Xenopus tropicalis: one gene and its partners. The protein of the gene in region 3 interacts with the protein of the main gene of each other region in a biochemical or structural test. Links are inferred from orthologs where the notes say so. Each region holds a gene or a part of one and is shown on either strand. Other genes may lie near its edges.

Region 1 (4,528 bases), on a different chromosome or scaffold from region 3:
AAGAGAAGAAAAGGGTTTGGTTAGCAGCAGCATTGTATAGTCAGAAAGCCATAGCAGTGCTTAAACAGCAGTGTGTCAACTTTGTCTAAACAATGGGAATTAAAGCTCTCTACTCTGTAACTGGATGGCAGCAAAATGCAGATTCATTGCCTTGTGAATGGCATTAAATAGATTAGCAGAGGTAGGAGGGAACAGGTCTCTTCAAGCTGCATTAAACCATCACATACTGCTTCATCTTGATGGGAAACTTTTATCACTTGGTCATTAAGGTCTGTGGGGAAACTGAAATAGATTTCTTTCATCAAATTGAATGTGTGTCTTTCGCTGAAGTTGCTAGATTATCTGCACCTGATCAGAAACACATTTGAGGGCATTTAGAAAAATAAATAACTACTGGCCAACCTAAGTATGATACTCTGAATTTGGATAACCCAAAGGCTGTACTGTCAGTTCGATTTCCACTGGCTGCTTTTCTAGGCTGTTCACAAGCACTAGTGGCACTCAGGGCATTGCCTGTATGATGCCAGTCAGTTTGGGGCCAGTAACACATTAACAAAGCTGACACAGAGCTGCATTTTATCTTCCCCTGTGTAAAAGGGATTCTCTACTGCTTACCAGAAAATGATCCTTTTTACCCAAAATGTAAATCAGATGTGATTTAATGTTTTTTATTGCCTACATGATAAGAATAATTTTAAAAAAAGATATGTGTGCTTCGTATATCCCATCTCTAGAATGTTTGGCCCTAGATTCAGACACACAATTGGTTTACTTTGCAACATTTAGAAGAAGCTTTCTGTTTTCAACTAGAAAGCACATTAGGTCTTCTAGCATGAAAGAGTAATAATAGAACAGTAATATTAAATTCTTACCTGTCTCCTGGTTTGACAAACTCTGCAAAAAGAAACAAAATAGATATTACTATTTTCATGCTATAGCAATCAATACTGAAGTAAAAAAATTATGTGATGTGGTGGAATTATCTTATATACTGGGATGTTATGTAGTAGTAGCACCACCCAACTGCAGTGTGGGTTTTAGAGACATCTTACTCTAGGTCCCATTCTACCTAGAAACAGTAGGAGGTACCTATTTATATATGACTAGTAGTAAATAGCCATCACACATGCACATTCTCAGAATAGAACAATAAATTGCAATCATTATTTAATTGTGCATTTGTATAGTGACTGTATAGTGGTAACTGTTTGTCAAAGGTCATACTGGCCCGGAGTGGCCATGTAGTTCCAAGCAAACTGATGACATAGCAGTGATCAGCTTGGCCTTTCAATATGTATGCAGTCCCATCAGATTCTAATCATAGGAGAGTGTCTGTCAAACTTTGTAAATAAACTTGCAAATGTTCTTTTACATTTGTAATGTATGGGTCAATGGTAATAGAATGCATTAAAAACACATAGGGGCTGATTTACTTACCCACGAACGGGTCGAATGGAGTCCGATTGCGTTTTTTTCGTAATGATCGGTATTTTGCGATTTTTTCGTATGTTTTGCGATTTTTTCGGATTCTTTGCGAATTTTTCGTTACCAATACAATTTTTGCGTAGAAACGCGAGTTTTCGTATCCATTACGAAAGTTGCGTAAAAAGTTGCGCATTTTTCGTAGCGTTAAAACTTACGCGAAAAATGCGCAACTTTTCGCGTAAGTTTTAACGCTACGAAAAATGCGCAACTTTTTACGCAACTTTCGTAATGGATACGAAAAACTCGCGTTTTTACGCAAAAATCGTATTGGTAACGAAAAATTCGTAAAGAATCCGAAAAAATCGCAAAACATACGAAAAAGTCGCAAAATGTTCGTTTTCAAGTCGGAACTTTTCCAATTCGGGTCGGATTCGTGGGTTAGTAAATCAGCCCCATAGTGTATATTTAAATGCTCTTAGAGTCAGTTGTCTCTGTTTAGTATTTTCCAATGCCATGGGGTTTACCTGAAGACCTTAATTAAACTAGTGCAAAACACACAATGAGCAAAAAAATTGCCATGATTTTACCTAGAGTGCTAATGTTACCTTTTGCAAATCTTCAAAAGATATTTCTGTTTCTCTTAGTTTTTCTCTGAGGATTTGCTCTTTCGCAGATATAAGTGATTCCTCACTCTCCAGTCGTCCAATATCCTGCTCCAGTCTGAAAGACAAAATGTGAATGATATCAAGTTTTTGCTACAATAGGTTGTAAAAATATTATGGTTATTATAACTATAACGTTTAATTTTATACTCCCACATATTCCACCATACTTTACTTATAAATATGGTCTGATGGGTAAAAAAAAGTTTTTTTTTTAATCCACAATGAATAACAGAGATTACATTGTTTCCAAGCATCAGGTTGGAATCTTTAAAAAAGCTACATTCTCCAAAGAGGTGTGTTCCAGTGCAGCTAGCAGATTTATGAATGGAATAAATCCTAGCATCTGTTTTTTTGTACTGAATATCAGTTTCACGTCTGCTAGTTATAATCCTGTGTATATATCCCTAATAAAATATATGACATCTATTACAATAAATAACAGTATAAATAGGAACCCCAAACTGATGAGATATGAAGATCCAAAGATATCTTGAATTTTTTAAATTACATTGGAATGTTGGCTTTCCATGGAGATTCAAAACCTCCTGCAAAATAGAATCCGTTGAACTATGCCTGTCACTCACATTAACATCCAGCCAATCATATTATACAGCCACCAATCTGCCAAACTAGCATCTGTATTGCATCTTGATCTGAAATCTTTAAAAATATATTTCTTACATGTTTACATGATGATATTCTAATTTCCTGTTTTATCATTAAAAATAAACTGTGGTATGAGTGTGTAAGTCATATGGTAACTAATACTAAGTAGGTCTGGCCTCTTTCCTGTCAGGAAGAAATTAATGGTATAATATCATAAAATCATGTATACAAGCTATTGGGAGTCTCTGCGTTTATTACAGGGTGTGCACTAAATGGCAGATTAAATATGCCATTCAAATCATTTTATAAAGATAGTATATAAAATATATTTCTACTAAAACAGTATAATGTGATGGACAGGGCCTCTTTTATTTTGTTGTTTTGCAACCTTTGTTGTTATACATATCTTATCAAACTTACATTTTGTATAATAAATAAGTTATAATGTTTCAGTAATCATTTCATTATGCCATTTTTTGTTCATATCAAAGTTCATTAGTTTTAATACAAAATTTTAAATTTTAATAAAAACTGTATCTTTTCTGTGGTCAGACTTTTTCAGCATCTGTAGTGAGCAAGTGTTTCTCTACAGTGTGCAAGCACCATGTTAGCCTGGACGGCATACAAACACATTTAAAACAAGACACTGGAGAGTCACATTCTTCTCACTCCAGTTAAAGCAGTTTATTAGGATGTCAAACACATATTTCAGATCCATGATTATTCCTAAAGTGCAAATATGAAGAATCTTCCCAGCTATAACTCAATGGACAAGGTCAGTGTGTTCTTAGCATGTAGGTAGCAAAAGTAATTGGAGAATTATTTGCTAGGGTTTTTTCTAATGCCACACAAAAAATAAAACATACAGTAAGTAACTATATCATACATAAAGCATGATTAATTGTTGTATTTTAGATAGCTTGACTACATATTCTGTTACTCCACACCCACACATACAGGCATTTCAGGCCACCCAGCACATTACACCACATACTGGTGCTAATGATTTTGAACAGCATGCTAATAAATAAAATGGCCCCATTTTCTTTAAAAAAAAAACCAAAACATCGGTTTTAAAGAGGTAGTAAAGCTTAAAAAAAATATAGCATCAAATGCTATATTTTGAACTTACTGTACCAACAAATAGTTTCAGCAGCCGTACAACAGTAATAATCCAGGCCTTTAAAGTTTTATCTTGGATTGTGTAAGCCATCCCATTAGTGTCAGTGACACGAGGTCTAGACTGGGATTTAAAATAGGCCCTGTAATTTCATGTACATAGGGGCCCAATAAAGCCCTCACCAACGAATAAAGAGTAACCTTCTATGGCATCTTATAGCAGCCCCTCTGGCATTTGCCAGCATCAGCAACTGTCAGTCCAGGCTAGTGACACTAAACATACTTTTTGGGGCATATTTATTATAGTGTAAGACCCTGTTGATGTGTGCTCTGGGCTGCTGCCGTCAAGAAGCAACGTTTATGGGTTGTTGGCTGTCATTTAACCTTTCTACAGGGCTGATTATTAAGTTCTAATACAGAATACACTGATGAGCTGCCATGCAATGTGAATCGACTTTGTTGACTAATTAGCCTTGTATTGTGGCAATTTTATAACATATGTACTTTTTATTGTAAGTCAGTCAGGTAACTGATAGAAGCAAATAGCAGGAAAGAAGATGGAGAGCTACTGTGTGCCTTTTCAAAGGCACAGATTTTAGGCACCCCCCCAAGTGATTGTAATCACTTACCTAAAAACTGCAAACTGCACTAGCCCGGGGTATCTGTGACCAAACGATTCTCTCCCATCTAGCTTCATTCTTCCGAATGCATGT
Region 2 (4,528 bases), on a different chromosome or scaffold from region 3:
TAAAATGCTTACAAACACAAATACAACTACAACATTCATGGGCAGTATCTTGGGAAAGAGATTAAGCTACTGTTCTGCATGCTGATTGTATTTTTCCAAGTCATTATGCAGCACCTTGGTTTCCACTTGTAGTTAAATCCTCTTCATCCAAATGCTCAAAAGCGGTTACAAAATCATCCTCAATTGAAGAAACAGATTGATTTGTATCATCTTCCTCACTGTGCGAAGCTTTTCTGAGTGTGTCACTCAAGAACTGATGATCCATTGTGTACCTTATTCCAGTTGTATATTTGCTCATCAGATTAAATAGGGAATCACTTTTTAAATATGTAAAGGTGGGAGATGACATGACACACAGTGCTCCAGAAAAACAACCCTTGAAATTAAAAAAATGGAAAAAAAGGTCAAATTTAAGCTCAGTATTACAATGGTAAATGCAAAGTGTAAAGGTTATTTTCATTTCACACTATTTGTTACTTAGAAACTATGCTGTTTGAGATGCAACCTGGAATTGTGTTCAATGTACTTGTAGCCAGCAGCAGTAACCCATAGCAACCAATCAGCAGGTAGCATTTACTGGTGACCTGTTTAAAAGCAAACATCCTATTGGTTGCTATGAGTTACTGCTCCTAGGCAAACTCTATGCCTTTAATTATATATCAGGGAAAATAGCTACTGTCATGGATACACTATGCAGCTTTTTCCCCCATAATTGTCTTTTTTGAAAAAGAAAACAAAAAACCCACCAAAAGGCTAATGAGGTTTTGTGGGAAATAACTGTGGGGGGAAAAACACAATAAAGAAAGAGCTCACTAGCATTTTCTTTACATTAATACACCTAATCTTGACTCTCAGGTGTTGAGAAATAAGCCCCAAAGTCTTGACAGTAGGGCAAACAAATACATGTTGCAGGTATCAAATTCAAAATGCATATATGTGCATATATTTTTAAATATATCTCAGTTTCAACATTTGATATTTTGTATTTTACTTTTTTTTAATTAAATGTAGGGTTTTTAATCATTTGCAAACCATCCTATACTCTTTTTTTACCCAATGTCTCATTTCAATGTTCCTTTTTAGGAAACAACAGAATTATTTTACACTACAATGGACTTTGTGACAAAAATATACAAACATAAAAAACAGGTTCATTAAAAACTGCAGTAGCTTAGTGATTTTCTACAGGAAGTGGCTACTTTCTACTTATGGCAATGAATGAGGGCTTGTCATTAGTTTCTGTTATACACACTCTATTAGTGTGAGTTGGTCAGATCTAGCTGGAGTAGTTCTGCGTTCCACCTGATACACTGGGTATGGAAACCTGCCGGTGAGACTAAATTTAAAAAGAATCTGTCTTAAACTTCCAATTATGTTTCTGTACAGAGTAACCAACCTAGTCCAATAGACTTTGTATGATCTACTCTGACTCGATTTGTCTGTTCATCAAAAATTTTATGGGATTCTGTGATTTTTATGGTGCACTTTTATTACCAAATTACACTGTTTACATAGCAAATAATTCACTCATTCATTTCAAATTTTATTCTTGAACCAACAAATGTATTTTTTTATCTGTAATACTGGTGTGTAGGCGCCATCTGAGTCTGAGCTTTCAGAAGGAGCCAGCACTACACATTAGAACTGCTTTCATACCAACCAACCAACCGTTTCTCCTACTCCCATGTAACTGGAGGAGTCCCAACCCGGACTTGGATTTCTTACTATTAAGTGCTATTCTGATACCTACTGGGAGCTGCTATCTTGCCCCCTTCCCATTGTTCTGCTGATCGGCTGCTGGGGGTGGGGTGATATCGCTCCAACTTTCAGCACAGCAGTAAAATGTGAACTGTGATCAGAGCACAGGTCACATGGCTGTGGCACCGTGGGAAATCAAGAATATTGCTAGCCCCGTGTGAAATTTCAAAATTAAATATAAAAAAAGTCTGTTTGTGTTTTTGAAAAACAGATTTCAATGCAGGATTCTGCTGGAGAAGCTCTATTAACTGATGTGTTTTACCATTTCTGTGAAAGCACAGCTAAGGGAGAGTCGCGGGTAGCAGTGCTACCTGTAGAGCAGCAGATGTTTAAAGGGATTTCATATGATTGACTTTTCAGAGTGTTACACAATAATTTCTATACATAGGCCACTGGCACGGGGGGCCACACACACTGGGTTCTAGTAATTCAGATCAAATGCACAAGACTGCAATAAAAATTCATGCAAAACACAAAAGTGCAGAACGTGACAGGGACGATTACCTGGGTTGCACAAGATGTTGTACCTTCTTTGCCATGCTTTAGCAGGATAACTTCGCAGTCATTTAAACTGCAGAGATGAAGTGATCTGATCAGTTCTGGCAGATCCAGGTGTAAAGCTTCAACATCCTGTGTGCAAGAATGACACAAGTGTCAGGTGTGGCTTCAGATATCATTTACATAAAGAAAATGCTCATTTTAGTGGCACCGCTAATTAGCAGGTAGGGGATTTATACTTCATGCCAATGAATCTTATCAGACTGGCTCCAAGCTTTCAGCACCATTGCTCACTGACGTTCATAACTGAACCTCACAGAATAATGGAACCAACACAGACAAACCACATTTCTTTTCCAGAATGTATGCCATTTTTTGCAGCCCCTTGAAGAACATAAAATTGAGGTTTAACTGTACTAATTTAAAATTAAAGGTAAACAAAAATATTGCTTAAAAACATCTCACCTGAAGAGGCTCTGACTCCTCAGAAAGTCCAAGAAATGTAAGCTGGAAGGTATAAAAATCGTGAAAAATTTCAATGAAAATCTTCCCTACCTAGAACCCACAGCAGAGATTTTTTTAGATTTATGTAAATAAAATTAAATGGAAAATTTGACTTTTTTTAAACCGCAATTAACTGGTTGTGTTTAGGTTTTTTTCTTAAATTGCGCACAAATTTTGCTGCCATTTTTTCCACAATTCTAATTTTTTTTAAATTGATAAATTGCTCTTTCAAAAAGTCCCCTGTGCAAAATAAATGTGGGAGGAAGGATGAAGAATAATAAATAAACTGACAAACCTCCATTACATTTTCTTTCTTGACACCTTTGAAACCCTCTGCAATTCTGCACAGTTCTTTCTTGCTTTCCAATAGTGACTTCAGTGACATCAAAAAGGCATCGCTTATATTCTGTAAAGAAATACTCTTGTAAGAAGCCAAACAAAGTCTCCAATTATTACATACATGCAATGCTACAAAATGTTGTAAAATATACACAAATCTCAAATATAGGGTGACACTTATACCAGAACTAGCATTATGTGTATCTCTTCAGGCTGTTAGCATACTTCTGTGCTTTTTCCTACTGCTGTGCCTTATCCCTATTTAGCCACTGTGTCCCCAGTGATATGGGCCAGTGATATGGGCCAGCGATATGGGCCAGCGATATGGGCCAGCGATATGGGCCAGCGATATGGGCCAGCGATATGGGCCAGTGATATGGGCCAGCGATATGGGCCAGCGATATGGGCCAGCGATATGGGCCAGCGATATGGGCCAGCGATATGGGCCAGCGATATGGGCCAGCGATATGGGCCAGTGATATGGGCAGACCTCTTCTCATGCTCAGTTACAACCCAATGCTGGTAAAGGAAAAGGGCAAAGAGCAATGGAACTACAATGCAAGGCATAATCTGAAAATATTCCACTTGACAAATGCAAAAGGAGAAAAAAAGGAAGATGCATAATTTTCATATTCCTAAAGTAGTAGCCCCAAAGAGTTGCAAGGTTTCTAACACTGGAAATATTGGAATTTGCTGTAGAAGTTTTATTCATGAAAAAGTCACTAAGGAACTGTGGGAAATGTTTTGGTAAATGAGCTCATTAACACAATTTCATATGGTCAGGAAAAGGTTAGTAAATGTGAGAAAATTTGACTGCTTGGAAAATGCCAACAATCTCAAATGCAACTTTAATAAGTCTTCCCCTTAGTGAGAAAGAGAAATCATTACTTTTTAAACCTTTAGGAATTTGCACAAATGATCTGAGGCAAAGATTTAAGAATCATCAAAAATGTGTGTTATTGACCATATTGATTATGGTATCAATATATTTCTTCATTTGTAAACCAGATAAGAACAAGAAGTTACTTGAACAGGAACAAAGCCCCAAGAATCATCCAGAACTGACTGAAAAGAATACTAAGTGGAAAGGACCTTAAAGAAGAATGAAAGGTAAAAACTAAGTAAGCTTTATCAGAAAGGTCTATGTAAATACAGCCATAAGCACTCACAGAAACGCTGCACTGAGTCCTCTATCAAAATAAACACAGGAGATCTTGTCTCCTTTTTTGTAAACATGTTCTTCAGTATCTGACTTCCTCTCTCAGAAAAATCCTTTATTTGGGGGTCATAGTCTGTGCAGTTCTCTCGTCTCTCCAGCTCTCCTCTCCCATAAGAATTCATAAAACTCACCCCCCCCCCCCCCCCCCTTGGCAATGTGTGATCTGAGCTACAACGGCACAACACCAAGCTGAAATGGCAGCTGCAATCT
Region 3 (4,528 bases):
ATGGCATCCTCCAGTATCTACAAACGCAGATCGCCCATGCTGAAATGTTCCAAGCATTTAAAGAGACAGCAGTACAAACGAGCACAATGATAAATACGATTACTATGCTGCTGTCTCACCACTGCCCGAGTGCAGCATTCAATAAATAAAAAAAGTGGGAGTGTTTACTCACTGAAAGATTTCTTTTACTGAGGTGATTGAGTAAACTCATCCTCCGAATAGGTTGAAAAGACTTGAATAAAGCACTGGAGTGTGTTCAAACCCAAGAACCGGACGGATATTCTGCTGATACAGAGAATGGCAGACAAATATGGACGCCAGTGACTTCATTCTGTATCATTGGTTATATCGAACAATCGTGTACTTGGGCAGGCGTGCCGGAGTGAAAAACATGCTAAGGGCGCCCTGCATGCTGCATCGACACCGCTTCTGGGCAAGAAAACATGCAAACTAGACTTTAGAGTCATTCGATGCAGTTACAATTTTGACAAAGGGCAGACAGACCGTTAAAACGGCTTTAGTCATACGATAGAAAATTGTATAACAGCTCTCAGATCTGTGGAATTGGAATTTCTTATTTTTCAAGTACTTTGAGAGAAACAGGAAGCAGGAAGTTCAATAAGCACTCCCAGTGTTTGCTGGGGGAAAATGCAGCTACGTATAAACCAGGGAGAACCATAAAACTGGACTTTAAAGGGGTTGTTCAGCTTAAAATTAACTTTTAGTATGATGTAGAGTGTGATATATTGACACAAATTGCCATTGGTCTTCATTTTTTTATTATTTTGCTTCTTGTTCAACTCAACTTCAACTCCCAGTTTGAGATTTCAGCACCAATCTGGTTTGAATGAGATACTGGATAATAACAACAAAAGGGACTGGATAGAATAATAAGTAATAAAAAAATAACAGTTTTTTGGCCGCCGGGGTCAGTGACCCCAATATGAAAACTGGAAGGAGTCAGAAGAAGGCTGCAAAGAATTCCACAACTACACCTAATAAATAAATGAAGCCCAACTGAAAAGTTGCTAGGAATAGGACAAGTTAACTTAAAAGTGAACTACCCCCTTAAATCTCCTTCTCCCTTAAATTTAGCTATCACAAAAAAAAAATTTTAATTTTTAAATAACCGTTAGAGGAGGCTCCGCCAAATATACACCACTTAAGAGTTCATTTGTCATAAAACGAATGACATTTCTTTTTAATATCAAGATGGACAGTTTAAACAACTTTTTTTTCTTGCATGAAACTCTGGGAAGTTTATTTTGCCTTTATTATAAAAAAATTTCCATAAAATGAAAAAAAAACAAACAAATCCACTATATTTAATTTAGGGCAAAATACTTTTTTTTTTTTTTTTAGTAGTACACTTTACTTTTATAAATACAAATCTTTGAATTTGCTCGTTGTGAGTCTCACAGAGTTCCATGAAATAAAAGTGGTATATTTAAATGAACAATACGAAAGACTCCACCAACACGACAAGTAACTTAGAATTTTATGTTCGGAGGTTTCTTGGAGTGCTTGAGAAACGCTACAAACGCTTCATTGAATACAATAATCATTTTGGTTCATGTTGCACGACATACTGTATTACTTTCTCCTAACGTAAGGAACGCTCCACTCAAGCTGCAGAAAGTCTTGCCATTGTTCTTAACATACATTCGAGGGGGGTAAAAAGGGGGAAAAAAGGCATTAAAATGTTGCTCCTGAATAAAAATGGGAGTGCAAAGTGTGTGTGAGAAAGACTATATAGATATATAGAGTTTATCAGTGTGGATGTCATTTGTATTTGAATAATATTTTAGGAATGGTGCTTGACTGATTTCAATAACAAAATATCCTATTGGGGGGGAAAAAAAAAAAAGGAAATCCATAGGAGCCACAATAGGAACTTGTGTTAACATTCTCTTCTTAGATACAAAGATAAAAAATGTTCTAAAATGACTATACAGGATTTATTTTTTTTTTTGTCTCATAACATTTTTGCTACTAGGTGAACCTAAATCATACGGAACGGCTAAGGGAGCGAGAGTTCCGACTGAGCAGGCCAACTGTGGGGGTGAGGGAGGGAAGCCCAGCTATGCGAAAACATTTTACAAATTAATACTCAGACCTATTATTGTTGAAACATCTTTGTGGCTATCCGAAGAGCTATTAAAATGCAACATTTTCCAAGTTCTTATATATGGCAGAATCTCTCAAACACGGAACAAAACTGCTGTGACTAAATGGTTAGCTATAGAACAGGTTGCATAGGCTAAACACCATTTTCCCAAGGCAAGCTGCAGAGGGCGCCACATGACTAAAATGATTCGTAAATATCGGCAGTTCAGCACTGCAATTAATAGGCTGCAGTGCTGAACCCAAGAACAGTTTCCAAGTAAAATTAAACCTTATTGCCGATCAACCTCATTGTTTTGACTAGAAAAAATGGCAGCCATGTTTAGTAAATAACAAAAATGTTTTTTTTGTTTTTTAATTCTACTTGTTATGCTCAGACACTGGGCTGTGGAGTAGGCACTTACAAAATGTATCGCAACGAGGGCTATTATGCCATTCTTAACCAGGGGAGGAAAAAGAAAGGCACGTATTTCTATGAGGTCTAATAATGGGATCTCAGCAGCAAAATGGCCCAGACTGGATTTCTACCATGGTCTCTGCTGCTGAAGCTTTACTCTCTGTTTAAAAAATAAAGAGGGGGGTGAAAAAGAAAAAGTGCTCAAGACAACAGCAGTAGCTGTTCCACAGTGCTCTTTGTCCCTTGTTTGTTGTGTTGCTGACAGGAAGCTTTTTTCTGTGTCTTGAACAGAGAAGGCAATGAGGTAACTGTGCCTATTTTCCTGGATCCCTAAGGTCCATGCTGGAACCAAACAATGCAACCAACTGCTCCTCATAATGTGTGATATTTCTCTTCATAATGTCCATGCAGGGGCCCAGCAATCGTTCAAATGCCTGCACATCCATAACTAAAAAAAGATAAAAGGGGGAAACATTTTTTAAACAGAAATAAAACATTTGATTTTAGCTTATCAGGCCTGGTAACCTTATTCTTCTCTAGTTACCAAGACACCATCTAATGTTGGCTTGCTGCATTAATACTAGAGAGATCAACAGATTTATGCTCTTACTTGTGTTTTATGAATGGGTACTAAAGCCTTTGAAGAACAATATTCTTTATGACTCTAGGCAGGGTCGGACTGGGCCGCCGGGAAAAAACCCAGTGGGCCCGACCAGATGCCTGTTGCTGCTCCCCCGGTCCTCCCCTGACGCGTTTCACTTATGCATGCCCCCCAGTCCGACCCTGACTTTAGGAGCTCCTGGGAACAGATTCTTAAGTGACTACAGACTGAAAAGACAACTTTGGCCAATGGCACAAGGGTCATATTCTCTGCCAACAGAGAAGCACCAAAATGTGCCCATGCAGATTGTCATTTAGTTGAATAAAATTTGTCAATGCTCCTGACAGAGATTCCAATAAATTGATGAATAAATATTACAATATTTGATAAAGTGGCCCAGCACATACAGTTAGTAGCTGGAAAGACAAGGAAACTTCAAGACAGTGTCAGTATCCCTTTTAAATATATTCTTCATTGTAATTGATATTTTATGGCCATTTCTGAGCTGCCCTTTTATTCTTAATTGCTGCTGGCAATTTGCCTTGTGTGAAATTCAACTTGAGAGGGTTACATTTACAACACTGGCTATTTTATAAACATTTTAATTGCATTAAATATATCTAAATAGCCCCAATTGTTTTGCTCATAAATTATAAAAGATTCACAACACTAATAAAGATGTGGGTTTAAAGCGAAGGAGTCAATATTTACTTAAGCACTTTACGTCCCCCACAGCGTAGGCCGAAGCTGCTCTTGGCTTGTTGGTAACGAGAGCTAGTTCTCCAAAATACTGTCCACTTTTACAACGTGCTATCTCTACTTCCTGGTTACTTTCTTGACCTGTTTTTGTCTGTAACAGATAAAGACATTAGCAATGTTCCAAATAAATTCACAAGCATTTTAGCTGATGCTGATTCATATCTATTTACCAAACGTTTTTATACCCATTTTGCTTATAGCGACTACAAAGAAATAGAGCAAACTTCATTAAGATAATATTAGACAACAATGAGGTGGTGTAAAGGCAAACACATACAAATGATTAACAAGCCACTACTGATATGTCTTCCTAAAGTTTTCTAAATAAGGAAACACTTTGAAACAGTCATACTTTAAATAGGGAAGTATAACTTATGATTCAGGACAATATTTAGGGTGGGTATTCATGATCCCCCTTTAAAATAAGTGAAATTACTTCCAGTAACAGACAATACTTTGCCTTGCAAAGGCATGTAAGCCGGTTCCCTTGGAAAAAAAAGGTTAGAGAGGAACTATCTGGCAAATTACATTTGAAAAAAGTTTAAGAAACTTTATAAATATAAAGAATTATAAATTCTATGTCATTTCTGAAATAACCAGATTGCATAGTAAGTAATACAATATAAGGAGCCACACTGGGGACAAGG

The links. The genes of interacting proteins can lie anywhere in the genome.
Region 1: the proteins of prkar2a (region 3) and palm2 form a complex in vitro, tested with the Homo sapiens proteins (2 studies listed by BioGRID, with this or other methods). The link is inferred for Xenopus tropicalis from reciprocal best matches to the Homo sapiens genes PRKAR2A and PALM2AKAP2.
Region 2: the proteins of prkar2a (region 3) and akap11 form a complex in vitro, tested with the Homo sapiens proteins (2 studies listed by BioGRID, with this or other methods). The link is inferred for Xenopus tropicalis from reciprocal best matches to the Homo sapiens genes PRKAR2A and AKAP11.

The regions. Positions count from the first base shown.
Region 1 is NC_030677.2:108,640,175-108,644,702, forward strand, and holds part of palm2 (paralemmin-2 isoform 1 (palm2)), read right to left. Parts: intron 2,146-4,528; coding exon 2,031-2,145; intron 895-2,030; coding exon 873-894; intron 1-872. UniProt on the Homo sapiens protein: Binds to regulatory subunit (RII) of protein kinase A. May be involved in establishing polarity in signaling systems or in integrating PKA-RII isoforms with downstream effectors to capture, amplify and focus diffuse, trans-cellular signals carried by cAMP.
Region 2 is NC_030678.2:132,798,525-132,803,052, reverse strand, and holds part of akap11 (A-kinase anchor protein 11), read right to left. Parts: intron 3,167-4,528; coding exon 3,056-3,166; intron 2,764-3,055; coding exon 2,722-2,763; intron 2,389-2,721; coding exon 2,263-2,388; intron 377-2,262; coding exon 115-376; intron 1-114. UniProt on the Homo sapiens protein: Binds to type II regulatory subunits of protein kinase A and anchors/targets them.
Region 3 is NC_030680.2:136,456,167-136,460,694, forward strand, and holds part of prkar2a (cAMP-dependent protein kinase type II-alpha regulatory subunit), read right to left. Parts: intron 3,973-4,528; coding exon 3,834-3,972; intron 2,970-3,833; coding exon 2,836-2,969; 3' UTR 1-2,835. UniProt on the Homo sapiens protein: Regulatory subunit of the cAMP-dependent protein kinases involved in cAMP signaling in cells. Type II regulatory chains mediate membrane association by binding to anchoring proteins, including the MAP2 kinase.